Linked DNA regions of Macaca fascicularis. The protein of the gene in region 1 purifies or fractionates together with the protein of each later gene. This does not show direct contact. Links are inferred from orthologs where the notes say so. Each region holds a gene or a part of one and is shown in the gene's direction. Other genes may lie near its edges.

The links.
Region 2: the proteins of NFKB1 (region 1) and SP1 purify together in Homo sapiens (affinity purification with western blotting, with the first as the bait; 3 studies listed by BioGRID). This does not show direct contact. The link is inferred for Macaca fascicularis from reciprocal best matches to the Homo sapiens genes NFKB1 and SP1.
Region 3: the proteins of NFKB1 (region 1) and NFKBIE purify together in Homo sapiens (affinity purification with mass spectrometry; 4 studies listed by BioGRID and IntAct, with this or other methods). This does not show direct contact. The link is inferred for Macaca fascicularis from reciprocal best matches to the Homo sapiens genes NFKB1 and NFKBIE.
Region 4: the proteins of NFKB1 (region 1) and RNF123 purify together in Homo sapiens (affinity purification with western blotting; 4 studies listed by BioGRID). This does not show direct contact. The link is inferred for Macaca fascicularis from reciprocal best matches to the Homo sapiens genes NFKB1 and RNF123.
Region 5: the proteins of NFKB1 (region 1) and SPAG9 purify together in Homo sapiens (affinity purification with mass spectrometry; 5 studies listed by BioGRID and IntAct, with this or other methods). This does not show direct contact. The link is inferred for Macaca fascicularis from reciprocal best matches to the Homo sapiens genes NFKB1 and SPAG9.
Region 6: the proteins of NFKB1 (region 1) and AURKA purify together in Homo sapiens (affinity purification with mass spectrometry; 4 studies listed by BioGRID and IntAct, counting the BioPlex papers as one, with this or other methods). This does not show direct contact. The link is inferred for Macaca fascicularis from reciprocal best matches to the Homo sapiens genes NFKB1 and AURKA.
Region 7: the proteins of NFKB1 (region 1) and LRPPRC purify together in Homo sapiens (affinity purification with mass spectrometry; 3 studies listed by BioGRID and IntAct, with this or other methods). This does not show direct contact. The link is inferred for Macaca fascicularis from reciprocal best matches to the Homo sapiens genes NFKB1 and LRPPRC.

Annotation. Positions count from the first base shown.
Region 1 is NC_088379.1:108,168,107-108,172,688, forward strand, and holds the start of NFKB1 (nuclear factor NF-kappa-B p105 subunit), read left to right. Parts: upstream 1-1,394; 5' UTR 1,395-1,849; intron 1,850-4,582.
Region 2 is NC_088385.1:60,209,690-60,213,738, forward strand, and holds part of SP1 (transcription factor Sp1), read left to right. Parts: intron 1-456; coding exon 457-625; intron 626-2,258; coding exon 2,259-2,458; intron 2,459-3,513; coding exon 3,514-3,827; 3' UTR 3,828-4,049. UniProt on the Homo sapiens protein: Transcription factor that can activate or repress transcription in response to physiological and pathological stimuli.
Region 3 is NC_088378.1:127,251,824-127,256,483, forward strand, and holds the start of NFKBIE (NF-kappa-B inhibitor epsilon), read left to right. Parts: upstream 1-1,607; 5' UTR 1,608-1,812; coding exon 1,813-2,177; intron 2,178-4,495; coding exon 4,496-4,598; intron 4,599-4,660. UniProt on the Homo sapiens protein: Sequesters NF-kappa-B transcription factor complexes in the cytoplasm, thereby inhibiting their activity. Sequestered complexes include NFKB1-RELA (p50-p65) and NFKB1-REL (p50-c-Rel) complexes.
Region 4 is NC_088376.1:112,732,209-112,736,257, forward strand, and holds part of RNF123 (E3 ubiquitin-protein ligase RNF123), read left to right. Parts: intron 1-720; exon of another isoform or gene 721-834; coding exon 835-1,012; intron 1,013-2,207; coding exon 2,208-2,282; intron 2,283-2,431; coding exon 2,432-2,519; intron 2,520-2,605; coding exon 2,606-2,693; intron 2,694-2,785; coding exon 2,786-2,870; intron 2,871-4,049. UniProt on the Homo sapiens protein: Catalytic subunit of the KPC complex that acts as E3 ubiquitin-protein ligase. Promotes the ubiquitination and proteasome-mediated degradation of CDKN1B which is the cyclin-dependent kinase inhibitor at the G0-G1 transition of the cell cycle.
Region 5 is NC_088390.1:55,588,324-55,592,844, forward strand, and holds the start of SPAG9 (C-Jun-amino-terminal kinase-interacting protein 4), read left to right. Parts: upstream 1-1,615; 5' UTR 1,616-1,831; coding exon 1,832-2,134; intron 2,135-4,521. UniProt on the Homo sapiens protein: The JNK-interacting protein (JIP) group of scaffold proteins selectively mediates JNK signaling by aggregating specific components of the MAPK cascade to form a functional JNK signaling module.
Region 6 is NC_088384.1:112,407,537-112,411,515, reverse strand, and holds part of AURKA (aurora kinase A), read left to right. Parts: intron 1-2,610; coding exon 2,611-2,759; intron 2,760-3,979. UniProt on the Homo sapiens protein: Mitotic serine/threonine kinase that contributes to the regulation of cell cycle progression.
Region 7 is NC_088387.1:78,087,814-78,091,862, forward strand, and holds part of LRPPRC (leucine-rich PPR motif-containing protein, mitochondrial), read left to right. Parts: intron 1-1,176; coding exon 1,177-1,303; intron 1,304-1,952; coding exon 1,953-2,097; intron 2,098-2,415; coding exon 2,416-2,561; intron 2,562-2,812; coding exon 2,813-2,918; intron 2,919-2,999; coding exon 3,000-3,107; intron 3,108-4,049. UniProt on the Homo sapiens protein: May play a role in RNA metabolism in both nuclei and mitochondria. In the nucleus binds to HNRPA1-associated poly(A) mRNAs and is part of nmRNP complexes at late stages of mRNA maturation which are possibly associated with nuclear mRNA export.

The DNA of each region.
Region 1 (4,582 bases):
GCATCCCAAAGTGCTGGGATGACAGGCGTGAGCCACCGCACTCGGCCCACAAAATTTCTTAAAAAGTCGTTGTGTTCAGTCTTTATGGATCCTCTGAATTCCACCTGCTCAGCCTCCAGGAGCTAAATGAGATCGCTTAAAGGTCAACTGTTGGGTGCCTCCAAGGTCGCCCCAGAGGCTCCTGTCATAGGCAATCAAATGAATCTCTGTTTTTACTTTTGGTTGTGCGCGTATGTGTGGTTTTTTTGTTTGTTTTGTTTTGTTTTTTGTTTTTGCCAGAAAAACACTCCACCAAGAAGGTTTTTATAACCTAGTGGAGGAGGAGGACGGAGAGTGGGCACAAAACGACTAGGATGAACATGCTATAAGGAATCTGAATGCCACTGCACTATTGCCTGGTAAGGACCTGATTACCGATATTTTAAAGCTAAGCTTTCAGTTGTCACTCGACCCACTAGTGAAACAATGAGCTCTAAAATATATGTTTCAGCTCAAGATTTCTTATGTGGGGAGGTAATGCAACCCAAGGTATCCCCAGCCTGTGCCTAGTACAGCGCCCAGCACTAAAGCAGCTCAGATGCCAGTGAACGGTGGTCACTGGCAGGCCTGTCAATGGGTGCCAGTAGCGGTCTCTTCAGAGAAAAAGAAAACTCCCCTCTGCCAGATCAGTATTTTATGAGCTGTAAACCAAAACCATTGCTACCACCATCACTATAATTCTATCCACAGTAATTATCATAAAGGCCTAACAATGCCTTGTAGATGAATATTGAGTAACTGCCCTATAACGAGGATATTTAAGACCGCACCAAAAACCAGTAGAGGGTTATACTTTACTGGACACAAGTCGGTTATGATAACGAAATTCTAGTTTAATCTGTGAAGAGATCTGAATGTAACCGAGACACATTTAAATGGAATATACAGATGAGCTTTATTTTTATATCTGGCATGCTTGGATCCATGCCGACCCTCCAGCTGCTCGGGCCTGCCCTTAGGGGCTATGGACCGCATGACTCTATCAGCGGCACCGCCGCCGCCTCCGCGCCGCCTGTGTTCCCGGACCACTGGGCCCGGCTGGCGCTTCCTGGGGGCGTCCCTACCGGCTCCAGCCCTCGGGATTTGGGAGCGCCCGGCTAGGAAGCCAGAGTCACGCCGGGGATCCCGGCGTCCAGGCCGCCTAACGCGCGCCCCTCGCCCGGCGCCCCGAAGCGGCCCCGAGGGGCGGGAGCCCAACCGAGCAACGAGGCCGGGCCGGGGGCGCACGGCCCCCAAAAGTGCGGGCTTCCCCCACCCCCGGCAGCGACCCCACCTCCCGCCCCCGCTGCGTGCGCGCGTGTGTCCGTCTGTCTGTATGCTCTCTCGACGTCAGTGGGAATTTCCAGCCAGGAAGTGAGAGAGTGAGCGAGAGAGAAAGAGAGAGAAGTGCACCAGCTAGCCGGGGCAGGAAGAGGAGGTTTCGCCACCGGAGCGGCCCGGCGACGCGCTGACAGCTTCCCCTGCCCTTCCCGTCGGTCGGGCCGCCAGCCGCCGCCGCCCTCGGCCTGCACGCAGCCGCCGGCCCCGCTCCCGGAGCCCAGCGCCGCCGAGGCCGCAGCCGCCCGGCCAGTAAGGCGGCGCCGCCGCCCGGCCACCGCGCGCCCTGCGCTTCCCTCCGCCCGCGCTGCGGACATGGCGCGGCGCTGACTGGCCTGGCCCGGCCCCGCCGCGCTACCGCTCGCCCCGACCCGCACCCGGGCCCGCTCGGGCTCCGGCCGGCCACCGCCTCTTCCCTCTCCAGCCCGCAGGCCCGCGCCGCCCAGGAGGGAGAGACCTGCGCCAGGAGGCCGAACGCGGACTCGCCACCAGGGTAAGCCAAACTCGGGCGAGTGGGGGCCCGGCAGGGGACGCGTGGCTCGAGTCCCGCCATCCAGCTCTCCGCACCCCCTCCAGCCCCACTCGGACTTCCTCATTCCTGCGCTAACCGCTGGGCTAGACCGTGGGAGGAGGTTGACAGTAGTGAGAGGCACATGGGATTGGCGACAGCGGGGTAAGGCACATCCGGACCTCGCAGGGGCTAGTCGGCCGAAGGGCCGTGGCTGCCCGGCGCTCATTTCTCTTCACGTCCCTCCGCGGGGTGGGAATGCGAATCGGAGGGGAACTCTTACAAACTTTTAAAATCCCCCAACCCCAGCCCCAGCTGGGGGATAGTGAGAAGGTTGAGGTGCGCTGCGGCGCGGAGGAGAGAGGGAAGGTGGTTGGTGCAGTGCAGAACCAGATTTCACCTAAGGGCGTTCCATGAAATGAAAGAAGAAGTGCTTGTCAGTCCTCCTGGCAGGGAAAGCCCTCTCCAGCTCCCCAGAATTGAATAGGAGAGTCTATTCATCCCTCTCCTACTTCTAAAAGAAGCCTGGCCCTCTCTCTGTCTCTTTTTCTCTCCCTCCCCCCACCCCTCCGTACACACACACACACACACACACACACACACACACACACACACACGATATAGTCACCTGCTATAGGACTTGATTCTGATCCTCTGGGGCCTGGCATTTGAGAGAGAAAATAAATTACCTAGTTGGATACTTAGAGCACTTTTTAGACTTGATTATGTAAAATTCTTGGACAGTGCCACCATGTATTATGCATGACTTCTGAAACAAAAACAATGTAAAAACAAAGCCTATCCTAAATGTAAGTTTTTCTATGGTCCTTAAAAACAGACACCAGGGAATGTTTGCCCTGACTTACTGGTCTATCCTGAAACTGAAATGGGACTTAATGATACAGGATTTAATTATCAAGATTTGAGACATTTTCATGGACTTTGTTAAGTAGAGGTTTTCAGCATTACAGTTTATGAAATAACCATATTTAACTCAAAGATTTTGTTATAAAGCTTATAATCTGAAAAAATGCTTATGGTATTACTAGAACATTTAATAACTCTGGCATCAAAATATTCTACACACTGGTGATCTTTAGTAAATACTAAAGGTTAGGGTCAAGATGTTCAATAATTTTCTTCTAGCAGAATCCCACAACTGAATATTGTCAAGCAGTTTAAACTGCATTCGTGTTTGTTAAAACTTTAAAAGGGAAACTTAAAATTGAAGTATGTTGTTTTTCTGATTTTAATTTTGTGCTTTCTAGAGATGAATCCTTTTACTGCTTGAGGCACTATGGGAATTATGTGTTTAAATGTATGTATTTAAATTTGAAGCAGTGTACTTTTTTCAGTTTATAAACTTGGGAAGACAGGAAATGAAAAGATTTATTTCCTGTAGAATTTTACGTTCATGATTTAATTGAATTGCTGAAATGAAAAGAACATATACGATGAATGGAGACTTGGAATCTGAGATTATTCATCCATATTGATACACCTGCAATTCCTAAATGCCCTCCCCTGCTTGTTTAGATAAAATGTCTTCCTGGTCTGCAACCTACTGGACAAACTTGAACACAAAGGAACACACGTTTTATGTACATTTAATACTGGAACCGAAAAGCTGCTTGCAGTGAAAAGCAAACCACTTCTAAACTCTTTGACACTTTTTAAGGAAAATAGTATAATCGTTTTGGGGTTGGTGGTGATTTGAAAATCTTTTATCTTTTTTTCTGAAATTTCATTCTTACGTTCGTCGTTGGCACTCACTTGTGCTGAGTAAATGCCCCTGTTTTTCAAACCCAGATAGTAAATACTGGGGTATACATACAAAAATAGTCCTTCCCCTTTGTAAGCATTGCTTTGATCTTTGCACTTCCTTTTTACTCTACCTCTTAAACAAGATCTGTGATGACTGAGTTGATTAAAGCACAATTAATCTTGAAATAGGAAGAATTTTAGATTTAGTGATCATATTCCTTACATTTCTGTTGTTACTGTTCCTGGAAACAAATTGAAGTAGTGTGAGAAACTAATTATTTATGTAGGTTGTTTTAGCTACACTTTTAGACTTGCAGATAATTGATTAAGTAAGTTACTACCTTGACTTTCAGGGATTGCTCATTGTGGTAGATACGAGGTCTAGATAGGGAATTGGCAGCTACATGAATGTTGGACTATCATTCCATCAGCAAGACCTTATTTTTACCTAATTTATGAGAGGTATTTCTCTCTTCAGAAGAGGTGAAAGTTCTGGCTTCTGAGGGGAAGTGATTACTTCATAACCTTCAATTGGTTTGAACTTGGGAGAAGTAAGAAAAGTAGTCGATATTTTCAAACAATAAAATAATTGTGTCTGAGTTGCTGTATGGATTTTTCATGAAGTACTCAAAAATGTCATCTTTTTCATCTTCAGGTCTTAATAGATGTGCTCTTCTGAGCATAGAATTGACTGCAGTAGGAAGTGTATCTGGAAATGCACAGTACTGTTGTATAACCAATAGAGTAAATACTCAGATTATGCGCTTCTAGTCCACAGATTGATCAGAAATCACATTAACAGGAATGGATGTCTATGAATGAATGGCTATGCAAAATTTCTCATTAGCTTTTTTACTTTTAGTAGGAAGTTTGTTTTATTTGGTTGGTCTCTTGGTTTTCTGTTTACAATGTGAATTGTCTACAGTAGTGGGATTGTTATATTAGAAGAGAAGG
Region 2 (4,049 bases), on another chromosome or scaffold:
ATCTCAGCTCACTGCAAGCTCCGCCTCCCGGGTTTACACCATTCTCCTGCCTCAGCCTCCCGAGTAGCTGGGACTACAGGCACCCGCCACTGCGCCCGGCTAGTTTTTTGTATTTTTTAGTAGAGACGGGGTTTCACCGTGTCAGCCAGGATGGTCTCGATCTCCTGACCTCGTGGTCCGCCCGTCTCGGCCTCCCAAAGTGCTGGGATTACAGGCTTGAGCCACCGCGCCCGGCCCACTCTTTGTATTTTCAATGATGATTCTTGAGATTTCAGTGAGTCTTCAGGTGTCAGTGAATGGAATGGCTGAACATTTTAAAAAGGCTTCAAAACTTGTGATACTGTGAACGTAGGATGTCAGTTCAAAAGAAATGATGCCGTGACTGTAGGGTATCACTGAGATGCCAGTGATAACCTGCCCGTGTCACATGTTGACTCTTTTCTCTCTTAATTATAGGTGATCATGGAGCTCAGCTTGGTCTCCATGGGGCTGGTGGTGATGGAATACATGATGACACAGCAGGTGGAGAGGAAGGAGAAAACAGCCCAGATGCCCAACCCCAAGCCGGTCGGAGGACCCGGCGGGAAGCATGCACCTGCCCCTACTGTAAAGACAGTGAAGGAAGGTGAGTTGACCCAGCAAGTTTCTTACAAATATGAAGAAAAAATAATAGGATTTGGAGGAAAGAGGAAGAAGGTTAATTTTTTTTTTTTTTTTTTTGAGACCGAGTCTTACTCTGTCTCCCAGGCTGGAGTGCAGTGGCGCCATCTCGGCTTACTGCAACCTCTGCCTCCCGGGTTTAAGCAATTCCCCCTGCTTTAGCCTCCCAAGTCACTGGGATTACAAGCATGTAATCCACACCTGGCTAATTTTGTATTTTTAGTAGAGATGGGGTTTCACCAGGTTGGTCAGTGAACTCCTGACCTCAGGTGATCTGCCCACCTTGGGCTCCCAAAGTGCTGGGATTACAAGCATGACCCACCGTGCCTGGCCTTGGGTTTTTTTGTTTGTTTGTTTTTTGTTTTTTTGTTTTTTTTTTTTTGAGACAGAGTCTTGCTCTGTGGCCAGGCTGGAGTGCAGTGGTGTGCGATCTTGGTTCACTGCAACCTCTGCCTCCCGGGTTCAAGTGATTCTTCTGCCTCAGCCTCCTGAGTAGCTAGGACTACAGGCATGCACCACCATGTCCAGCTAATTTTTGTGTTTTTAGTAGAAATGGGGTTTCACCACGTTGGCCAGGGTGGTCTCAATCTCTTGACCTTGTGATGCACCCTCCTTGGCCTCCCAAAGTGCTGAGATTACAGTTGTGAGCCACTGTGCCCAGCTTAACTTTTAAATTTTTTATAGAGATGGGATTTCCCTGTGTTGCCCAGGCTGGTCTCAAACTCCTGGGCTTAAGCAGTCCTCCTGCCTTAGCCCCACAAATTGTTGGGATTACAGGCGTTAGCCACTGCACCCAGCCTAGAAGCCTTTTTAAAAATTTAATTTAATTTAATTTTTTTTGAGACTGAGTCTCGCTCTGTCGCCCAGGCTGGAATGCAGTGGCGCAGTCTCGGCTCACTGCAAGCTCTGCCTCCCAGGTTCACGCCATTCTCCTGTCTCAGCCTCCCGAGTAGCAGGGACTACAGGTGCCCGCCACCACGCCTGGCTAATTTTTTTTGTATTTTTAGTAGAGACAGGGTTTCACCGTGTTAGCCAGGATGGTTTCAATCTCCTGACCCTGTGATCCGCCTGCCTCCGCCTCCCAAAGTGCTGGGATTACAGGCGTGAGCCACCGCGCCCAGCCCCTAGAAGGCTTTTTAAAAGGAAGCCTTGGTCCATCGCGGTGGCTCACGCCTGTAATCCCAGCACTTTGGGAGGTGGAGGCAGGCAGATCCATCACCTGAGGTTAGGGATTCGAGACCAGCCTGGCCAACATGGCGAAACCTCATCTGTACTAAAAATACACAATTCAACTGGACATGGTGGCGTGCACCTGTTGGTGCACTGGACATAGTGGCGTGCATCCTAGCTACTCGGGAGGCTGAGGCAGGAGAATCATTTGAACCTAGGAGGTGTGAGCCGTGATCATGCCGTTGTACTCCAGCCTGGACGACAGAGTGAGACTCTGTCTCAAAAAAACAAAACAAAAAAGAAGGCTTTTTCAAAAAATAAAAGTTTGGGTTAGTTTGGTGTAGGTTGGGTGACTGTTGTTGATACTTTGTGGTTCTTTAGTTTCTGTCTCTAGAATGAATGATAAATAGTTGTATCCTCACTTTCAGGGGCTCGGGGGATCCTGGCAAAAAGAAACAACATATTTGCCACATCCAAGGCTGTGGGAAAGTGTATGGCAAGACTTCACACCTGCGGGCACACTTGCGCTGGCATACAGGCGAGAGGCCATTTATGTGTACCTGGTCATACTGTGGGAAACGCTTCACACGTTCAGATGAGCTACAGAGGCACAAACGTACACACACAGGTGAGCAAGAGCCTATGGGAGAAAAATAGAGTAATAGCCTAGAATGAAAAACACAAAATATACCTACAAAATAACTAAAATTTCTGAACAACTTAATTTGAAACTAAATATATGGGTCACAAATGGAATTGGAGTTAATCTGGAAACCTTTTAAGAAGGAAGGAGGAGCTGCGCACAGTGGCTCACACCTGTAATCCCAGCACTTTGGGAGCCCAAGGTGGGCGGATCATGAGGTCAGGAGATCAAGACCATCCTGGCTAACACGGTGAAACCCCATCTCTAAAAATACAAAAAAATTAGCCGGGCATGGTGGCAGGCTCCTGTAGTCCCAGCTACTCGGGAGGCTGAGGCAGGAGAATGGCAGGAACCTGGGAGGCGGAGCTTGCAGTGAGCCAAGATTGTGCCACTGCACTCCAGCCTGGGCGACAGAGTGAGACTCCGTCTCAAAAAAAAAAAAAAAGGAAGGAGTTGGGTGCGGTGGCTCACGCCTGTAATCCCAGCACTTTGGGAGGCCGAGGTGGTTGGATTTCTTGAGGTCAGGAGTTTGAGACCAGCCTGACCAATATGGGGAAACCTTGTCTCTACTAAAATTACAAAAGTCAAGCGTGCTGGCGCACACCCGTAATCACAGCTACTCGGGAGGCTGAGGGAGGAGAATTGCTTGAACCCAGGAGGTGGAGGTTACAGTGAGCTGAGATTGTGCCACTGCACTCCAGCCTAGGCGACAGAGCAAGACTGTCTCAAAAAAAAAAAAAAGGAAGGAACTAGATTTTGAGTGGGATGTTTTGAAGGCAAAGCGTTGAAACCATTACTCTTAGTCTCTGCCCTGCCTTACTTTTCTGCTAAGTTCTACCCTCCTTACTGAGTACTCCCCAACCTTTATCTACTTTTCTTCCCCACGCCCCCACCAAAGGAAAAGATACTTGAAGATTTTTCTTGTTTTTAATCATCTTCTCATACTGGTCTTACTCAGCTTAGTAGAGTAATTACTGAACTGGGTAAGATAACCTCACTTCCTAACATGTCAGCTTCTTATCTTTCCTTCCTTTACCTAGGTGAGAAGAAATTTGCCTGCCCTGAGTGTCCTAAGCGCTTCATGAGGAGTGACCACCTGTCAAAACATATCAAGACCCACCAGAATAAGAAGGGAGGCCCAGGTGTAGCTCTGAGTGTGGGCACTTTGCCCCTGGACAGTGGGGCAGGTTCAGAAGGCAGCGGCACTGCCACTCCTTCAGCCCTTATTACCACCAATATGGTAGCCATGGAGGCCATCTGTCCAGAGGGCATTGCCCGTCTTGCCAACAGTGGCATCAACGTCATGCAGGTGGCGGATCTGCAGTCCATTAATATCAGTGGCAATGGCTTCTGAGATCAGGCACCCGGGGCCAGAGACATATGGGCCATACCCATCAACCCCGGGATGCAAGGTAGCATGGGTCCAAGAGACATGTGGGAAGAGAGAGCCATGAAGCATTAAAATGCATGGTGGTGAGAAGAATCAGGAGAGGGATACAAGAGAAGAGATGGGGTCCTGGCACCCATCTGTATCATCAGTGCCTCTTAGAAGGTGGGAAACATTAGTGAAAATTCT
Region 3 (4,660 bases), on another chromosome or scaffold:
CCTCTCACCCCACTGAGTAGCTGGCCCCACTGTGTGCCCCCACAACACCCTGTTCTCAGTTCTGTCTTATCCCAACCACTCTGAGCTGTAATTGCCAAGGAGCTTTTTTAGGACCATGGGATTTTTTTTGTTGGTCATAGGGGGGTGGTTATGGGTTATTACTGTGATAGTCAGTTTTGCTTCCAATAGAAAGAACAAAGTCAGACATTACAGGAGACCTTCCATACATGTTTAACAAGTGGGTGCATGATGGATGAATAAAATGAGGTTGCAGGGGAAGGGCAGTGGGAAAACTGGCCTCTCCCCTGCAAAATGTTGCTATCTACACTCATCCACCTTCCTTTCCCCAATGCTGGAGATGGAAAAGCTACATGTTTCCTTGGGGATAACCCTGTAAGGGCATTGCTGGCGCTAGGCTGATAGCACTTGGAGTAGTGGGGAGGAACAAGGGAATAAATCATGGGGCATGGGCTTAGGGCTCACTTGTAGTGGGGTTCTCCCACGGCCTTCCTAAGCCTAGGGACAGCGGTTTTCGTACTAAGATTGGGGCTGTGTTAGGGACCTGAGCAGAGTGCAACCAGCATATCTGGGGCCTCCCCAGTCTGACCCCACTTCCTTGACTGCTGGGGTTGACCAGAAACTGTAACTACCCAAGGCCAAGATTTCACCCTTTGAGGAAGAAGAAACCCCATAACCACTTTGCTTTTTAGACAACAGTCTCCATGAGAAGACGCTCTTTCCAAAAAAATTTTTCATGCCCAATTCCATGTGATGTAGGACGTTGACACAGCAGACTGTCTTCGAGGACCCAGAAGAACTGCTCCTTTAAAGATAATGGGAGTCCCCTTTCCCTACCAATATTCCTGGGCACTGATAGGGAAAGATGAGAAAGCAAGAGAAATTGAGATAAATGGGCAAGGGTTAGGAAGCAGTGCTTCCGCAACCCATCACCTACATGCCCTCCCTCAAAGATGCCAGCTTGTACAGACAGTTAATAGATATTTCTTTTAAAACAAATGAATGGTCCGGGCCTAGTGGCTCGCAGCCTGTAATCCCAGCACTTTGGGAGTCCGAGGCAGGCAGATTGCTTGAACCCAGGAGTTCGGGACCAGCCTGGGCAACGTGGCAAGACCCCCGTCTCTACTTGTAGTCCCAGTTACCCGGGAGGCTGAGGCAGGAGAACCGCTTGAACCCAGGAGGCGGAGGTTGCAGTGAGCCGAGATCGCATCACTGCACTCCAGCCTGGGCAACAGATCAAGACTTAGTCTCGAAAAAATAAAAAATAAAAATAAAACAAATGAATTAAGAAATAGAAGTGACAGAAGGAAACAGTACATGCGTGGAACTAATGAGTGAAGGAGGAAGGGGGAAACGGTGAATGAATGAATGAGTGAATGAATCAACGAAGGAGTGAGTCAAGGCCCGGGAACCACAGACTCCAAGCCTACGCAGAGCCCGGGAAGGGGGATTCCGGAGGGGCGGGGCCTCTTTCCGGAAGCGCCCGCCGGGGGCGGGGAGGGGGCGGGGCCACCCGGCTTGCAGCGACCCTGTTGGTCCGGAGGGGCGGGGCGAGGAGGAGGACCCGCTTGGGCGGTTCGGCTGCCCACAGTAACCGCTGGGTGGACCCGGCCAGCGCTCCGAACCTTGTCCTCGCTGTGCGCCGGCCTCTCGGAGCCCCACAGCCCGGGAAGGAGGCCGCCGCGGGCCTGGCGCCCGCTCTGCCAAGCGGACCCGCAACCCGGAAAGGCGGCGCGGCAGAGCCCGTAGCCGGATCCTGCTTAGACCGGGCCCCCGCGGGCCAGCGCCGCGGGCATGTCGGAGGCGCGGAAGGGGCCGGACGAGGCGGACGAGAGCCAGTACGACTCTGGCATTGAGTCTCTGCGCTCTCTGCGCTCCCTACCCGAGCCGACCTCGGCTCCCGCCTCCGGGCCCTCGGACGGCAGCCCCCAGCCCTGCACCCACCCTCCGGGGCCCGCCAAGGAACCACAGCAGAAGGAAGACGCGGATGGGGAGCGGGCTGATTCCACCTATGGCTCCTCCTCGCTCACCGAGAGCCTGTCCTTGCTGGGGGGTCCCGAGGCTGAGGACCCGGCCCCACGCCCGCCACTCCCCCACGTGGGGGCGCTGAGCCCTCAGCAGCTGGAAGCACTCACTTACATCTCCGAGGACGGAGACACGTGAGTATGGGGGCTAGGCGGGATGCTAACTCTGGGCCTGCCCAAGAGCCGCAACAGGCCGGGCACCCCTACTCCCCCGTGAGGATCCTTCAAGTCCCCATTCACTGTTCCAAACTCCAGACTTAACTCTCAGCCAACTTTTGAGGTCCAGCCAGGCCATGGCATCATCTCTGTTCTCCCATTTCGGGGTGGGCAGAGCTGGCAGGACCCTTAACTCAGGGACCCCAGCCAGCATCTTGGAAATCTACCAATAATCCACCCTTAGGAAGAGAAAATTCCCCTGACCGAGTCCAGTTTTTTTGTTTCTTCTTGCTGGGGAAGGGGACATCCTTATTTGCTCAATATCTGGGATTCCCAGTTCCTGACCTCAGAATGCTCTGTCTCCAGGAGCAACAGGTGCCAGTTACAGGTTGCCAGTAGGGGCCAGGAAGCTAGGCGTGGGGGTGCCACCAGGGTGTAGGATTGGGGCTGGTCCTCAGGAGGAGGGGGTGAGCCAGGCTGGGGCACTCTTGCCCCAGCAGACAGATAGGCGGCTGGCTGCCCCAGCTTACTTCCTCCTCTGCTAAGAAAGGGGAAGTGAGGGCTAGAGTCAGCGTCCCTGATATCCTCTACCTCCAGAGACCCCAAGTCCCACTAACTGTTGTGTCTTACTCCCTCACTTAACCCTTCCTCCTTCAGACCCAGGTGGAGTTTTGTGGGAGTGGGCCAGAGGGCAGTTGAAGTAAAAGGCAGTTGTGTGTGATGGGTTGGCCAACTGAGGATTTAGCCCCCCAGGAAGAAGAAAACATTGACACAGGAGGGAAAGGTTGGGATCTGGGGATGAGAAATAGAGTTGGGGAGGGCTAGAATCCCTGATCAAGGGTGCTCATATAAATAGGAGTAGGGGAGGCAGGAGGTGGCTGTCCTAACCTGCTTTTTGGAGATGCAGGGTCCCAATCCTGGGTGGCCATTGATAAAGATAGCTGGTGCACACAGTGGGTGGGAGAGGAGTGACCCAGTCCTTTCTGTACTCTGCCTGGATCACCAGCCCTCAGGTCCAGAACCCCAAGGTTTTGGGGGCTGCATGCAAGATACCTCTGATGACCTTTGATCCAAGGAGAGGGAACTTTTGACACTGCCGTCTTTTGTTAGCCTCTCAGCCCCAGCCTTTTCCATCTCTAGTTAGAAGCAGGTGTTGTGTCCAGACTGGGTGTGTGTGTGGAGGGGAGAAGTGTCCGGGCTTCCCAGCGAGTCCCCAGAGAGGAGGGGCACTTTCCTCCCTCCGTTGGAGGTGTCTGGGCTGTGGGAGGTATGGAAGTGGGAAGAGGAAGTGGGAGGAGGGGATACTGGGGAAGAGAGGGAGGTGGCTGCAAGAATGTGACCCAGAGAGCAGGCCCTGGCCGAGGGGATTTCCAGAGCAGTTCCTCCCTCCCTCCGTCACTCTCCTGGGCCTCTCCTGCTGCCTGCCGCCGAAGCCTGCCGCCCTCCTGCCCAAGCAGTCCCCTCCCCAGTCCAGACGGGCCTTTTAGCCAAGCTACCCCCCTCACTCATGCCCCAAGGCAGCTGTCCCGGCCTAGACCCTCCAGCACTGGCTTTCATTTTCCCCACCTGACGTGGGGAAACCCCGAGACTGGAACTTCCCCTCCCAACTGCCCCCATTACCCCTAGATTAAGGTTCTTGGCCCCCTCAACAAATACATTTTCTGCACTACAAAGACCTCCTCTTGGAGGTGCACACAGGAATGGATGGCCTCTGTTAGGCCCGACCTGGTCTGTGCTATCTGAGAGGTGTCTCTTGACTCCCAGGGAAGGGCAGCAGGACAGGATGCTGCACTGTCTCCTTGCTCCTCTTCCAAGAGTTTCTGTGTCTCTCCCTTGGAATGTGTTAACATTGAGTTGCTTGGGGGTATGGGGTGACCCTGCATCTGTCTCCTTTCCTGTGAGCTGAGGTAGTGGGGTGCTCGGCCTGGAAACCCCCTCTGGACTACTTCGGCAGCTTTCAATTTGGCTTTGAGCTGCAGCTGGCCGGGCAGAGCCCTGAGGGCAAAGAGGAGTGGGTGTGGGCAGGCTGGACAGGAAGGCCCTTGTCCTGTCAGCACCCTGCCCACATGCCCATCCAGCCAAGGCCCTCCTGAAGGCCAGCAGTGGGAACTTGGAGCTCCAACCCCTAGGATCCTGGCTTCCCACACCAACCCTCACTTCCTGGCCCACACTCTCACTTCCTGAACCTACCCTATGGGTAGCTAGTTAAAGTTTGATGTGTTCCTTCTAACCCCAAGACCCCAACCCACTCCCTCTGGCCTGGGCCCTAACGCTGAGCCCCGCCTCTGCTCCCCTAGGCTGGTCCACCTGGCAGTGATTCACGAGGCCCCAGCGGTGCTGCTCTGTTGCCTGGCTTTGCTGCCCCAGGAGGTCCTGGACATTCAAAATAACCTTTACCAGGTTGGTGGCGAGAGAGGGTTGTGCCTAGATACCTGTTTGTGCCCTGGCAGCCATCCCCAGCA
Region 4 (4,049 bases), on another chromosome or scaffold:
GAAGCCCAGGTGCTCCGACCGCACTCCAAGACACACAGGTGCTGTGGGTCTGGGCTGGAACCTGAGGCCGCATTCTTGCCTGGGCTCCCTGACATGGACTCTGTGGAAACCACATTGTGGGGAGCAGGGCCCTCAGCAGGTTTTGTCTGTTTCCTGTGACCTCTGTTCCACCAGTCACACTGCCCCCTGCCTTCCCACCACCTTCTCCTTTGCACTCCAGATCAAATTTCTGCCTGCCTGCTTACCATTGCCAGCTCTCTTGGGCCCTCCATGCATCTTGTACTCCACTTTTCAACACAGACTTCTGGTCACAGCACTCTCTTGCCTAAAACTTGCTTACGGGCTGAGGCAGGTGAATCACCTGAGGTCAGGAGTTCAAGATCAGCCTGGCCTACGTGGCAAAACCCTATCTCTACTAAAAATGCAAAAATTAGCTGGGTGTGGTATCACATACCTGTAGTCCCAGCTACTTGGGAGGCTGAGGCAAGATAATCCCTTGAACTTGGGAGGCGGAGGTTCCAGTGAGCCGAGATGGCGTCACTACACTCCAGCCTGGGCGACTCAATCTCAAAAAAAAAAAAAAGAACTTGCTTACAAATATGCTGACCAGAGTTCTGGCTGGGTTGCAGTAATACGCCCTCCAGACTGAGTGCGTCCCTCTTGCCTGCTGAGGACTCGATTGCCCTGCTTAAGCCACTGCTCGTGCTTCCTGAAATCCAGGTCTCAGTTGTGCTGTCATAGGCCTGGGGAGGCCTTTCCTGATCCCCAGGCCAGGACATGAGCCCAAGACCCCACTGGTGCACAACCCAGCAGCACCCCATGTGCCTCCTGCAGGAGAAGATGCTGGACATCTACTGGCTGCTGCGCGTCTGCCTGCAGACCATTGAGCACGGTGATCGCACAGGGTCTCTCTTTGCCTTCATGCCCGAGTTCTACCTGAGCGTGGCCATCAACAGCTACAGTGCTCTCAAGAATTACTTCGGTCCCGTGCACAGCATGGAGGAGCTCCCAGGTGATGGAACCATTCAGGCTGGGGCAGAAGCAGAAAAGGGGTCTCTAGTGTGAGCCCTAGGAGCCCTGGTCTGAGACCTCTGTGGCCCAGCAACACACATCCGTGGGGGGCAGGGAGGGGAGGAGCTTCCTCTGTGGTTCACCCTGCAGCAAACAAATGTTTGCACCCTGCCCTGGGACCTGCAGCCACAGATCCAACAGCTCCCTGGCAAAGGAAAACAGACAAGATGGAACACAGTGGGTGGAGACCCCTTGGCTTTCACTTCCTTCCTAGTGCTATGAGCAACTGCTGTGGTGCAGCAGCCAGCTGGCCCTGCACCCTGACTCCCTGGCACTGGTCACAAAGCGTGGCAGTTGGTCAGGGGCAGAATGGTTTGTCTTGGTAAATCACAGCAGGGGGTGGACCCTGCTACGGTCCACATCCGAACCTGGGCTTCTCGCAGCCCACTGATTCCAGGCTAAGCTGTACTGTGTATGTCTGGATCAGGCAGTGAGCTGTCATAGCCCCTAGCCCACACCCTGCCTAGCCCCAGGCCTCGGTGTAGGCTTTGTCTTCAAAGACAGAGCTGTAGGCCGGGCGCGGTGGCTCAAGCCTGTAATCCCAGCACTTTGGGAGGCCGAGACGGGCGGATCACGAGGTCAGGAGATCGAGACCATCCTGGCTAACCCGGTGAAACCCCGTCTCTACTAAAAAATACAAAAAAAAACTAGCCGGGCGAGGTGGCGGGCGCCTGTAGTCCCAGCTACTCGGGAGGCTGAGGCAGGAGAATGGTGCAAACCCGGGAGGCGGAGCTTGCAGTGAGCTGAGATCCGGCCACTGCACTCCAGCCCGGGCGACAGAGCGAGACTCCGTCTCAAAAAAATAAATAAATAAAAAATAAAAATAAAAAACAAAGACAGAGCTGTGGGTGCCCAAGGAGCTTTGACTGCTCATCAGGTGTGTGTGCTGAGATGGGTTTGAGCCCAGGTCAGGGCTCCTGCCAGGGCCTGTCATCCCCTCACAGTGAGCCTATGCCTTAGCCCCTCCACAGCCACCAATGAATGCCTTGCCTGATGTCCCCAGATGCCAGCCTGGGTCCAGGCTGGGCTTGGGAGCCAGCTCTAGAGCCTGCTACCCAAGCCCACCCAACCTGCTGACATGCCTGCCTCTGGAGCCCCCACTCCTAGCCAACACGTCTCAATTCCTACCCTTGCAGGCTATGAAGAGACACTGACCCGCCTGGCTGCCATTCTCGCCAAACACTTTGCTGACACACGCATCGTGGGCACTGGTGAGGGGCCCTACAGAGGGTACAGGGGGAAGGGGATGGGATGGCACCTCTGGTTGGCTTTCTTCTATGAAAAATGTGGCCAGGTGGGCATGAGACATGGGTCCAGGGCTCATGCCAAGCCCCTACTGAGGCACGGCGTCTCCCCGCAGACATCCGAGACTCGCTGATGCAGGCCCTGGCCAGCTACGTGTGCTACCCACACTCCCTGCGGGCTGTGGAGCGAATCCCTGAGGAGCAGTGAGTGGGGCCTGGGAGGCACACACCCTGGCCACAAGCACCGTGCCCAGCCTCACCCCATGTCTCTCCCCTCCTTGCCCTCACAGGCGTATCGCCATGGTGAGGAACCTCCTGGCACCCTATGAGCAGCGGCCCTGGGCCCAGACCAACTGGATCCTGGTGCGGCTCTGGAGGGTAAGCCTGACTCAAGGGGAGGTGGCTGAGACTGGCTGAAGGGAGAGGGTGCCCTGTCCCATTGACCTGAGCACCGACCCCCACCTCCACAGGGCTGTGGCTTCGGGTACCGCTATACACGGCTGCCACATCTGCTGAAAACCAAACTTGAGGATGCCAATTTGCCCAGCCTCCAGAGTGAGTATCTGGGTTGGTGGAGTCATGAGCAAGGCAGGCGGGGGTGTTTACCCCCTACCCATGGGTTCTTTCAGACTCTCCAGTTCTTCAGCCCCTCTCTGGTTCCCCCATTGGGTCCCAGACTCCCTACTTGTCCCCTGGGGTTTCCACTTTCCTTGCTTCCTTCCAGCCCAAGGATGCTCGGGCTGGGACTCCCCCTCCTCCACCTTGCCCACAGTCCTACATGTGTCCTTTGGGCCTGGACGCTCTACATGGGTCATGGTGAGAGGTGGCACCATCTTCCTGGCCTGCCGCAGCTCATGCAGACTGAATACTCTGTCCCTTGCCCTCAAAGCTAGCTCCCTGACCTCCAGCCTTGTCCCAGCACCATGTCCTTCTGCTTCTTTTTTGCTCTCTGCTGGTGCCAGACCCTGGCCTTGGCTTCGGCCTTGGACACCTGAGTCCAGTGGGAGCACAGATTGGAGGTTGGCCAGGTGCCCAGAGGGTATTCATGGGGGTTCCTGGAGGAAGGGACATTTAGTTGGGAGCAGAGGGCAAGTATCATGAGCCTGAGGATTTTACCCTAGGCCTGGCCCTTGCAGAGTGCCTACCACACACTGTCTTCACCCTTCGTGGTGGCTCTTCTTGGCTCATGTAGTCTGTTTCTGCCCTTGTGGGCAGTGTTTTGATCTGAAGGGTGTCCCCAGAGAGGCTGAGTGTCTTGTGCTAAGTCACACAGCAAGTCCTTGCCAGTTGCTGTGGTCCTGCCTCCAGGGTGGAACTGAGCTGCAAGTGGAGAGCAGCAGTGGGGCCAGGCCCGTCCTGCTGCTGCGGGAACTATTGATTTGCATCAAGCTGGTGGGGAGGTGCGCCGGGCCAGTTGCAGCTGAGGGCTCTGGTTACTGCTGCCTGCCAGCCCAGACTTGGCGCCTACCACCTTGGCCATATGCCAAGGCCAGGCCAAGGGCAGCAGAGGACAGTAGAGGACAGCAGGTTTGCAGCAGGGCTCAGAGTAGGCTCTTGGAGGAGCTGGCCTTGGTGCTGGTGGGGAAGCGTCTAAGCCACCCTGTCTAGGTCTGACCCTATCTGAAGGGTATGTGACCCAGAACTTGCTGAGGGTCAGGCTCTGGCTATGTGGCTGCTCCAGGCCTGGGGTGGATGGTGTGGTGTCAGAGCTGGAAACAACTGCAGCCTGGAGTT
Region 5 (4,521 bases), on another chromosome or scaffold:
AGTATGAAAGGTTAAGAAGAGAAAGGGCATTTGGGGCTCACAGCCAACCAGCTGGTCGGCATTCCTACTACCCAAACATCTAAATGACATAAGGGTGAATGTGAGGTGAGGGTGAGAATGGAGAAAACACAGGAAGCAAATTCAGTCCCATCCGGCACTTTAGACTTAGTATTTTCATCCTTGTCCTTCCAAATTTATAGGTTTGTTCTTGCCCAACCTTCATATTGTTTTTGTGGGTCTCCAGGTGGGTCATGCGTTGGAAACTTTAGGGAACTACTTCATACTTGGTGGGAAGTACTTGAACTTGTAAACCCCAAGCTAAGGGTAGTTATGATCCCGGTGGGTAGCCAGTTCTCCCCCTAAATCTATGTTTATCCTGCCTTTCCTCCCCCTTTTCTTAAACGAGTCGGGACGGAGAAATGAGTCACCTAAGGCGGGGAGAAGGGACTTTTGAGAGTGTCTTCCGTCCCATTTGCGGACGTCAGGTGAGCACACCGGGAAGCGATCTTGACTCAGCCCGCTCTGGCGTGGGCGTTGTGCCATTCCCCACACGTGACGCTCTGCCAGGCGGCAGAAGTCTCACTTGTCATGGGACTTATTCACTCCAGTGACTCCACCCCTTTCCTCCTCTGCTCCCCAACCTCCCACTTACCCTTTCCGCCCCACTTCGAGACTTGAGGAAAGGAGGGTGGCTGGAGCCTGGAAATGTCCCCGTCCCAAGTTGGCCAGAAGTAGCAGACACACTATTTGGGAAAGTGCAACATGTAACTTTTCAGTTTCACCCTTCTCCAGAATGCTATCACCCTTCCTGTTTATTTTTTAATAACTTGAGATATAATTCACACGCCATATGATTCACTCGCTTAACGTGTAAAGTTGAATGTCTTTTAGCATATTTAGAGTTATGTATACATCACTATAATCAATTTTTAGAACACTTTCATTATCCCAAAAGGAAATCCCATACCTATTAGCAGTAACTCCAATTTCCCCTCATCTCACCCTTGCTCTTCCATAGCACAAAACAGCCTTATTCTAGTCGAGACCACCTTTCCACTTAGGTAGACCCTGGTTATGGTTTTTTCCCCTCCCTTTCTGTTTCCCATTTTTTTCGGAGCCCGGAATTCTCAATCTGGAGAACTGGTTTGAGTCCCGGCTCAGCCCGTTTCCCGTTCCAGGGGCGTGACCTTGAGAGCACCGCCACTTTTCCGGGCCTAGTTTCTTTGTCTGTGAAACGAGGTCCAAACATCTGCCGCTTTACGCCCGTTGTGGGGATGAAGTGAGAAGGTGCTTTGTGAGCTTTAAAAATCCATAGAAATACCAGCTACGTTAACTCGTCACTCTTCCCGAACCCCTCCCTTTCCCCTGGGACCCGCCCCGCGAATCCCGCCGTGATGGACACTTTCCCACCCTCCGACCGCAGTCTTTCCCATTGGCGCCCGCATCATCCTCGCGGCGCCGGGTGTTGACGCCACGGCTTCCTCCGCCGGCGCCCGAAGACGCATGGCCCCGCCCCCGGCCGCGCCTGGCCTCCCGCGGCGCCCCGCCCATCGGGCCGACGCGTCGCCAGCCCCGCCCCGCGGATGACGTGTGGCGCGCGCGGCCCGGCCGCCCCGGCAGTTGGTGCAGCGGCGGTTGGGGTGAGAGCGCACACGCCACCCCTCCCCTCCTCCGGCCCCGACCCCCACCCCGCCGGGCCCAGCCCCAGCCCCGGCCCGGGCTCCAGCCCTAGTCCCCGTCCCAGCCCAAGCCGGGCCAGTCCCGTGCGGGCCGGTGCCGCCCCTCAGCCGGCGACGCCCCGGGCCGCCCGCCCGCCCGCCCGCTTGCCACCATGGAGCTGGAGGACGGTGTGGTGTATCAGGAGGAACCCGGCGGCTCCGGGGCCGTGATGTCGGAGCGGGTGTCCGGCCTGGCCGGCTCCATCTACCGCGAGTTCGAGCGGCTCATCGGGCGTTACGACGAGGAGGTGGTCAAGGAGCTGATGCCGCTGGTGGTGGCTGTACTGGAGAACCTGGACTCGGTGTTCGCGCAGGACCAGGAGCACCAGGTGGAGCTGGAGCTGCTGCGGGACGACAACGAGCAGCTCATCACCCAGTACGAGCGGGAGAAGGCGCTGCGCAAGCACGCCGAGGAGGTGAGGCCGGCGGCAGGGCGGGGGCCGCGGGATCCGTCCCCGGGGGCGGTCGGGGCGGGGGTCGCGGCCCGGTCGGGGACTAGAGGCGCGACGGGCCTCCTGGAGAGCTGGCCTGAGGCCGATGTCCCCCCGGGACCGAGCCCGGCGGCCTCCAGGTACCCCGGGACCCAGGCCGGCTTTGGAAGCCGAGGCCGGCTACTGAGTGTCCTGGGAAGGGAGCGAGATGGAGGAGGCAGGGCCCGGGGAGGAAGCGACAGCCTGGCCTGAGGACACATGGGGTTAGCCAAGGGCGGAGATTGTTGGGTGTCTGGTTGCTTCTTGTTGTTGAGGGAAGTTTCCGACCACCGTGGGATAGTCAGATGGCGGTTCAAAGTTTTACCCCTGGGGAGGGGGACACTTCTCTCCTGGATATGTAACTTCCGCTGGTTCCAGTACCTTTCCAGGGGGTTGCCTTGCTTTGGGAAGTTAGAGATCTCCCTCTTTCGGTCAGTTTCTTCTTGGCGTTTTAATCTTGTTGAGAAAGAGGTCTTATTTTATATTCTATGTGCCTTGGTTGACACTTTGTCAACTTTTAGATGTTGTGTGGCAGTATTCAATGAATAGATAAACAATTTCATGGGTATCCCAAACCAGAGCATTCCACAGTATCAGGAGGTAACCTTGGACAGTTCCCTTCAGAAACCCTCCATTTATTTATAAAAAGGATTGGGGGGCGGGGTTGGGAAGATGTAGGTGACAGTTGACAACACTTTTTCCGTCTGAGTTTCCTTCTCAGACTGCTGTTTATACGTGCATTTAGTCGCCTGTTAACTCTAGCACCTGAGCAGTGACCTGGGCGCCCTCACCTCGACTCTGTGAACCTTTTGGAGTTCTAGGGTGCAAGTGATAGGTCCTTGGCTTTTGAGAGTGACAAGGATTTTAGCTTTCAGCCTGCATTGGCGTTATTTCTGTGGACCTTATCAAAGACAGGTGAAGTGTCCTATTTTTGTTTCTCAAGCACCTAGTACACCTAGTTAAATACATGGTGATCAAAGGAGGCGAAATAACTAATTATTGAAGGAATGACATGGTATTTTTCAGAAAGACTTGAAGAGTTTTTAGGATGTGAGATTTGTAGCTCATTTCCTAACACTGAATAGTAACACCATTAAAAATTTTTGTTTTGTTTTGTCATGTATACCTTTGCATCTGGTTAAGTAGTTCTTTTCCTTTTTTAAAAGCTTGACTGTAGTGATGATTTTTAGTTCTGATTGTGGGATCCAGTTTTCTCAAGGGAATGGTATTGAATTTGCCAAACAAAATTGATTATTATTATTATTATTTTTTTTGAGACATAGTCTCACTCTGTCACCCAGGCTGGAGTGCAGTGGAGTGATCTTGGCTCACTGCAACCTCTGCCTCCCGGTGAGCCTCTGCCTCCCCTGTTCAAGCGATTCTTGTGCCTCAGCTTCCTAAATAGCTGGGACAACACTCCCCGCTAATTTTTGTTTTTGGTAGAGAGGGGATTTCTCCATGGTGCCTAGGATGGTCTTGAACTCCTGACCTCAAGTGATCTGCCCACTTTGGCCTGGGGCTGACCATGCCAGTGCTGGGATTACAGGCGTGAGCCACTGCACCCTGCCAGAATGGACTATTTCAAGAGCTTTTCCTTTCATATAGGGAAGGATGGGATGAAAAACTAGATAATGATAGGATCACAATTTCCACTTGTTTGTTAGCACTCTTTGTAGAACAGAGGTCAAGTGCTACTTCTGAGAGGGCTTGCTGCTGCTTCATGCTCACTGGCCCTTGCCAGTGTGTGGATATACGTGGAAGTGACTGGGAATTAACCACATGTACACACAGGTTCAAGCAAGCCTGACATGACCTTTTACCTCACATAAAATAAATGCTCCTTCCAGCCTTAAACTCCTGTCAGTCTGTGTAAATATAGGCAAAATGCCAAGGTCACACGTGCCAAGAAAACCATATGCCACAGGTTGCAGAATCAGAAAACAAAACTGACCGACTGCTAGACTCTGGGTTCCATATTAATTTCTTAAGTAAATGACTTTAAAAAAATAGGTTATCCAGTGAATTTATTTGTAGTTTATATTTTTTCAGTCACATCTATAAATTCTCCGCAGTGAAACCATTGGGCAAAGGGTCATGACCTGAGAACAGAGAACATTTATGAAAAGCTAAATAAGCCAAATCCCAGGCCACAAACATAAACACATCTTGTTATCAGACAGTCTCTCTCTGTCGCCAGGCTGGAGTGCAGTGGCACGATCTCGGCTCACTGCCTCCCGGGTTCAAGCAGTTCTCCTGCCTCAGCCTCCCGAGTAGCTGGGACTACAGGCACGTGCCTCCCTACCTGGCTAATATATATATATTTTTTTGTATTT
Region 6 (3,979 bases), on another chromosome or scaffold:
CTTCAGTTTCTGATATTGATATCCTACTTTAAAAGATTCACCTTATCTCAACAGTATAAAATTACACATGATACTACTTCTCTGTTTTCTCTCCTCACACCCAAGGCTTCAATCTAGATGGAGTTTTGGTGTGAGCAGATAGCTATTTGAAAGAAAATGAAAGATTATTTCTGTCTAGATTCCTTTGCAGTTAGAATGAATACGCATGTACCTGTTTTCCTTTTCAGATGAATTCAAATAAAACTAATTGTAGTGACACGTCAGTGACCTATCCATACCTGCAGTCTAACAACATGTGAGGTGTGGAGGGAGTAGCAGTGCCAGAGAGCCATGGCGAAACTAATAGCTTCTTGTCTGGAAATGACTGGAGGAGTGAAGTCCATTGCCTCTTGAACTTTAATGTGTGCAATTAAAGCATCAGCAACTCAAAGTCGGTGTAGTCAGAAGAGCAGCTTTCTTGTATTTGACTTCAGTTTATCGTGGTCTGAATTTTGATCTCTGGCTTTGGACTGAAAGAATGAAAAGTGTTTTTTCTGCCAGTGACACTTGGTGTTTACTTATCTGTTTAGTAAACCTTTTTGATGTAAAATAATGTTCAATCCTGTCTAGCAATTGCTTTAGAAAGGAAACTCAAACTTTAGGCAGAGCTAAATATATTTTTTCAATATTCAAACAGTTACCTGTATGATAAAATAAATTCTGGGCCAGGCATGGTAGCTCACACTGGTAATCTCAGCACTTGGAGAGGCCAAGATGGGAGGATTACCTGAAGTCAGGAATTAGCGACCAGCCTGGGCAACATGGGGAGACTCTGTCTCTACAAAAAAAAAAAAAAAAAAAAAAGAAAGAAACATTAAAAATTAGCTGGGCATGGTGGCACACACCTGTAGTCCCAACTACTCGGTAGGAGGATTGCTTAAGCCCAGGAGTTCAAGGCTGCAGTGAGGTCTGATCATGCCGTAGCAATCCAGGGTGGGTGACAGAGTGAGACCCTGTCTCTTAAAAATAAATAAGTAAATAACATACATACATACATACATACTAGATTTGTTGGCTAAATCTTAGAGATAGGGACTGGAAAACTTTTCTTTTTTCTTGCTTTTTTTTTGAGATGGAATTTCATTCTTGTTGCCCAGGCTGGAGTGCAATGACGTGATCTCGGCTCACTGCAACCTCTACCTCCCGGGTTCAACCAATTCTCCTGCCTCAGCCTCCTGAGTAGCTGGGATTATAGGCATGCACCACCACGCTCGGCTAATTTTTGTATTTTTGGTAGAGAAAGGGTTTCACCATGTTGGTCAGGCTGGTCTCGAACTCCTGACTTCAGGTGATCCCCCTGCCTTGGCTTCCCAGAGTGCTGGGATTACAGGTGCCCAGCCAGGCAAACTTTTCTTACAAGATAGTAACTTGGCAGGGTGCGGTGGCTCATGTCTGTAATCCTAGCACTTTGTGAGGCTGAGATGGGAGGATCACTTGAGGTCAGGAGTTTGAGACTAGCCTGGTCAACATAGCGAGACCCCCATCTCTATTAAAAAAAAAAAAGATAGTAACTTAAGGAAATAAAATTAACAAAAGGACTGATTTCTTATGTACTTCTATGCTGACTTAGTGTAACCCAAAATTTAACATGCTATTTAATATGTCAGTGCAACTGCTTTTTAGTTTCTGTTTATTGTTCAGGATAATTTCTTTCTCCTGATATTCTTGAAGTAAATTTTTAGCTTTAAACAAATTATTCTGTCACAGAATGATCTTGGTTTTAAAAAAAGGAATTGACTATACTTGAAAAGTTAATTTTATTTTTCTAAAAAAGAAAAAGGCAGTATTTACACACCTGAATCCTTAATTTGTACCAGGTCTTCGGCACTGCCTTACTTCCTTGCCGCAGGGCCGTTTGTTGCCGTATGGGGGTGTAACTGTTAGGCTGGTGCAGAAGTAACTGTGTTTTGCATTGAAATGGCACCAACCTAAGAGCTAGCTCTAACTAGCTGAATGTCTTTTCCGTCTTTCAACATCACACCAACTGTATTAGCAAAGCGATAACTAAACATTGGGTAATTTCACTTCATGCTAACCACTATAAATTGGTTCAGTTGATTCTGTGTGTGTGTGTGTGTGTGTGTGTGTGTGTGTGTTTGTGTGTGTGTAGACTCATGTATAATTTCTACGATGCTTGCTTCAAAACCTGCAATATGTGTTTTTTGTTTTGTCTTTTCCTTTTTGAGACAGGGTCTCACTCTGTCACCCAGGCTGAAGTGTGATCATGGCTTACTGCAGCTTTGACCTCCTGGGCTCAAGCGATCCTCCCGCCTCAGCTTCCCAAGTAGCTGGGACTACAGGCATACACCATCATGCTTGGCTAATTTTTAAATTTTTTTTGCAGAGATGGAGTCTTGCTATGTTTCCCAGGCTGGCTTTGAATTCCTGGGCTTGAGTGATCCTCCCACCTCAGTCCCCCAAAGTGCTGGGATTACAGGTGGGAGCCACTGTGTCTGGCCAAAACCTGCAAACCATGTTAAATCTATGTTGTGTTCCTTTCAGAAGAGATGTCTAATATTAACTTGTGTTATACAAAATCTAAAACACAGGCTTTCAATATTTTTTTAACAGTATATAACAGAATTGGCAAATGCCTTGTCTTACTGTCATTCGAAGAGAGTTATTCATAGAGACATTAAGCCAGAGAACTTACTTCTTGGATCAGCTGGAGAGCTTAAAATTGCAGATTTTGGGTGGTCAGTACATGCTCCATCTTCCAGGTATGTAACTTTAGAGGTGGAAGTTGTTTGGTTTACCAGAGCCCTGGGAGCTAATCATGAGCCAAATATAAAATATTTTAGTGTAGATTTTGTGCTATAAGAGGGGTATGTAGCTAACCCAGAAGTACCTTGGAGTAATTTAGGCTTAATAATAAACTAGGGTTTGCAAGAAAATTTTATTCTGTGGTGATTTGGGGCTATTAACAGTGTTCTAGGCCTAGGGTTAAAGATGCTTAATGTCCTTAGAGGCTAATGAGGGGATGAATGAGTCAACAGATAGGACAAGTATATGACAGAGGTGAAGTGCCCATGTGTTGAGGGGGAGGAACTCTTCACCTCTGCTGCTTCCTGGATGAGGAGATGGGGAGATGTTCCAGAGGACAGCACCGACAAAGGTCTAGCACTCAGACTGCAGGTCATATCAGGGAACTTGAAACACCAAATTAGTTTGGTGGAGCTTTGAGGGCAGTGGTGAGAGATTCTCTTTGGTCTGCCTCTGTCAATAGTAGGGATAGTCCTTCCTTGTCCCCTCTCACAGCTGAAGCAGAGATGTCAATCTCAAAACAATTCAAATCTTAAAGAGCTTTCCACATGAACTACAGTATCTTTACTGTTTTAAATTTGAGTTTAAATAAGCTTTGAAACTTCACGTGAAGTGGGGCATTTTAAAGCATACATCTACCGATCAAGGTTTGTCAACTTTGGAGGACTCAAATTATAGCCAGATGACTTAAAAATCAAGCTAGTTAAAAAAAAAAAAGTATAGCCTAAAACAGATTATATGTGAGGGAGAAATCCTTTGCTTTTGTTACAGAGCACTTCTAACTGTTCCCAGCAATGCATTGAATCTGCTATTGCAGTCTTTTTTTTAAAAAAACTGGTTGTCATTAGTGGGAGCTGTTATCTGCTAAGACAAACCAGAATAAAGAATTATAGGCTTCATGGAATTGCAGAGTTAAACTATTTTAACCGGTTGAATTGTGATAGAAAAGATGGCTTCTTGCTTTTTGAAAAGATTGCTTACATAACCGATAGTCACTTCACTCTGAATCCCAGATGTTAATCATCATCATTTCCTGGTTATTGCCTCAGTTTGAGAACCCGCGATTCAGTCTGTTGGTGGTGATGGAGGGGTTAGATGACCAGAGTGGTAGCTTCTTAATCCTACATCACAATTCAGTAGTGACTGTGTGCTCAGTGGGTGCCAGGCCTGGCTGAAC
Region 7 (4,049 bases), on another chromosome or scaffold:
TTAAGTGGGGTTTAAATTAGATAAAATTATTGTAGACAGTTCCTAAAATATGTTTGTCTACTCCTAAAATATGTTTGTCTACCCCTTCAAAAAAAATCTAGTATATGAGGTAGAGCATACTAATATTTTTATAACGTGCTTTTACATTTATTCCACAAATCTTTTATTTGAATTTTTAGAAATTGGGCTATAGGCCGGGCGCGGTGGCTCACACCTGTAATCCCAGCACTTTGGGGAGGCTGAGGTGGGCAGATCACCTGATGTCAGGAGTTCAAGACCAGCCTGGCCAACATGGTGAAACCTGGTCTCTACAAAAATATAAAAATTAGCTGGGCATGATGGCAGGTGCCTGTAATCCCAGCTACTCGGGATTCTGAGGCAGGAGAATTGTTTGAACCCAGGAGGCAGAGATTGCAGTGGGCCGAGATCGTGCCATTGCACTCCAGCCTGGGAGACAGAGCAAGACTCCATCTCAAAAAAAAAGAAAAGAAAAGAAAAAAGAAACTGGGCTTGATCTGAAGTAACTGCTCTGGAAAATATTTTTATTTTTATTTATTTTTATTTTTTTTTATTTTATTTTATTTTTTTTTTTTTGAGACGGAGTCTCGCGCTGTCACCCAGGCTGGAGTGCAGTGGCCGGATCTCAGCTCACTGCAAGCTCCGCCTCCTGGGTTCACGCCATTCTCCTGCCTCCGCCTCCCGAGTAGCTGGGACTACAGGCATCCGCCACCTCGGCCAGCTAGTTTTTTGTATTTTTTAGTAGAGATGGGGTTTCACCGTGTTAACCAGGATGGTCTCGATCTCCTGACCTCGTGATCCGCCCGTCTCGGCCTCCCAAAGTGCTGGGATTACAGGCTTGAGCCACAATATTTTTATTTTTGAAGAGTAATTTACTAAACGTTATTCTTACCTTGTAAGTTAAGTCTGAGTCGTAACCTGTATAATGTAAGAGGGTATATGTTATTTAATGTCTGCGTAATTATTATTTTTCTTAATGAGGGATCAGATGTTTATGATCTTTATTTGAGAAACATATATCCAGTTTAATATACATTTGTTTTCTGACATCATAATTCCAAATGATACTTAGCATTTTTGATTTTAATAAGCGTATGTTTTAGTTTGAATAACTATATTACATTTGGCAAGTAATCTGTTTTTTGGATTAACTTGTAGTGATATGCAGAATGCAGAAAACATTCTCACAGTGATGAGAGAGGCTGGAATTGAGCCTGGTCCAGACACATACCTCGCATTATTGAATGCATATGCTGAGAAGGGCGACATTGACCATGTTAAGCAGGTATGACTTATGTCTAAATAAACATACTTTAAAATCATTTGTAAAAACTTGTGTTATGTTTTATATGAGGCAGCAAAGTGTAGTTTATACCTGTTTTCAAAGATGTTTCCTTGCAGAGAGTAGTATTTATGGAGAATTATTATAGTTCAGTATCTTGGTGCTGATAATATAACAGTTATTGTTGAAGTAGAGTATTTTCTTTTTATGTATTTTTATTTTTATTTTTTTTTGAGATGGAGTCTTGCTCTGTCACCCAGGCTGGAGTGCAGTGGCGCAATCTCGGCTCACTGCAAGCTCCGCCTCACAGGTTCACGCCATTCTTCTGCCTCAGCCTCTCCGAGTAGCTGGGACTCCAGGCACCCGCCACCAGGCCTGGCCAATTTGTTGTATTTTTAGTAGAGGCAGGGTTTCACCGTGGTCCCCATCTCCTGACTTCGTGATCCACCCTCCTCGGCCTTCCAAAGTGCTGGGATTACAGGCGTGAACCACCGCACCTGGCCGAGTATTTCTTATGTTTTAAAAGAAGTCCTAAAGCTTTAGGTGGTGTTTTTCCCTACTGTTTTGAATCTGTATATTTTAATTTATTTAACTTTAATACTTAAATAAAAACACTCTAACTTGGTCTTCTAATTTCTGGAACTCTCTATAGACTCTGGAGAAGGTCGAGAAGTCCGAGCTTCACCTTATGGACCGTGATTTATTCCAAATTATTTTTAGCTTCAGTAAAGCTGGGTATCCTCAGTATGTCTCAGAAATTTTGGAAAAAGTTACATGTGAAAGAAGATATATTCCAGGTAGTTTTTAAAAAATCTATTTACATGATTTTTATAAAAATCTGAATTGCTGTTCTTATATGATGGAAAGGACATTTTCTAACAATGGGCATTGTGGGAGTTGAACATAGAACTCTTAAAGTCAGTTAAATAAGCCCAAAAACATGAGTTAATGAATACATGGGGATGATTTGATTTGCAAGTGTTTTATTGTTATTTAGGCAGATATATGCTTTTGATGTTTGCAATTCTTATTTTGTCTTTAGTATCGGAACATTGGTTGCAGTGTAAAAACATTGTTCAGTTTACTAACAAAAGATGTCTTTGTTTTCTTCCCAGATGCAATGAACCTCATTTTACTTTTAGTCACTGAAAAATTGGAAGATGTAGCTTTGCAAATTTTACTAGCATGCCCTATATCAAAGGAAGATGGCATAAGTGACTTTGGCAGTTTCTTTTTACGACACTGTGTGACTATGAATACGGTATTCTGTCCACTTTTACTTTGTAGACAATATAATTGGCAGTGAAATAAGATTCTTTAAAATATAGGAATATTTATGAGATTAGACCAGTTGTGAACATTATAACAACCTTGTTCTTGTGTTGCAAGATTTTTGGGTAGAAAAAGTGCGGGATTTAAACTGCTCATCTCAAGAAGTGATAGAATATTTGCAGCAGTTCAAATGGTAAGATGTTTGCCAATCCAGCTAATGTGGTGACTTTTTTCCCACAGCCTGTGGAGAAGCTAACAGACTACTGTAAGAAGTTAAAGGAAATCCAGATGCACTCCTTTCCTCTGCAGTTCACCCTCCATTGTGCCTTACTTGCCAAAAAAACTGGTACTACATTCTTAAAGTTAAAGCCAACGTAAGGAAGTTTTGCTGAGGTAGCTTTGTGATATTTTATGATATCTCTTTCAGATTTGGCAAAAGCCCTAATGAAGGCTGTGAAGGAGGAAGGTTTTCCTATCAGAACTCACTATTTCTGGCCATTGCTAGTTGGACATCAGAAGGAAAAAAATGTTCAAGGTTAGATTGTGCTTTTTACTGGTTTGTAATGGTTCCCAGTATGACAGTTTGCACGCACATCTAATTGGATTCTTTGGAAAAGCATACTTATTCCTGAGTATTATGAGAAAACGGAATTGTTTTAAGTCGCCATGAAGTATTATGTGTAAGCATTTAAAAAAACAAAACATGATGGATTTCTTTCATCCGAATTTCGTTAATTTCATTTCTTATTTCATCTCTGATCCTGATATTCAAACTTACGAATGTAGTTCTAAGCAGTTCATTATTTTCAAGTTCTTAAAAAAACTCTTTAGTTCTTGATTTTATATATAATGTTTGAAATCAGATTGTCTACCTTTAATAAAGATAAAGTTGTATATACAATCAGGTTCATGAAAACAAAAAGTGTGGCCATTTTCTTTGTGGGCCAATCTATTTCTTTTTAACTGAGCTTAGTTAGAATAATAGGAAAGGCAGGAAAACTTTTATTGTAAAATGAGTACTCATGACCTGACAGCCTGCTGATTGAAGGACAAAAATGTTCAATCTTTCAGGTTCTTAAGTACGTTTAAGCATTTATCATACTTTTCCCTTGTACACATGGGATGACTATAGGATATGAATAAGAATTGAACAAATATTAAATTTCAGAGTACAGTATCTAATTCTTTGGTTTGCATTATTGGTAATTCAGAAAGAATAGTCTCATAAAAAGATGCTTTTAACAGAAGTACTTTCCCCTTGGGGAAACAAAAAATGGTCTTTTTCATTTTATCTCTAAGTATAATGTGCTTTGGAATGAGATGCAGAATTGTTAGTGTGACATTGGGTGACAAACAAAATGCACAAACAACAAAAAAAGTGCTTTTAGCAGACTTTCATATTGCAATTTTATTTTAAATATACAGCCGTCTTCTGGTTTAAAGGAAATAGTGAAACAAGTATTCCCTAATTGTTTCT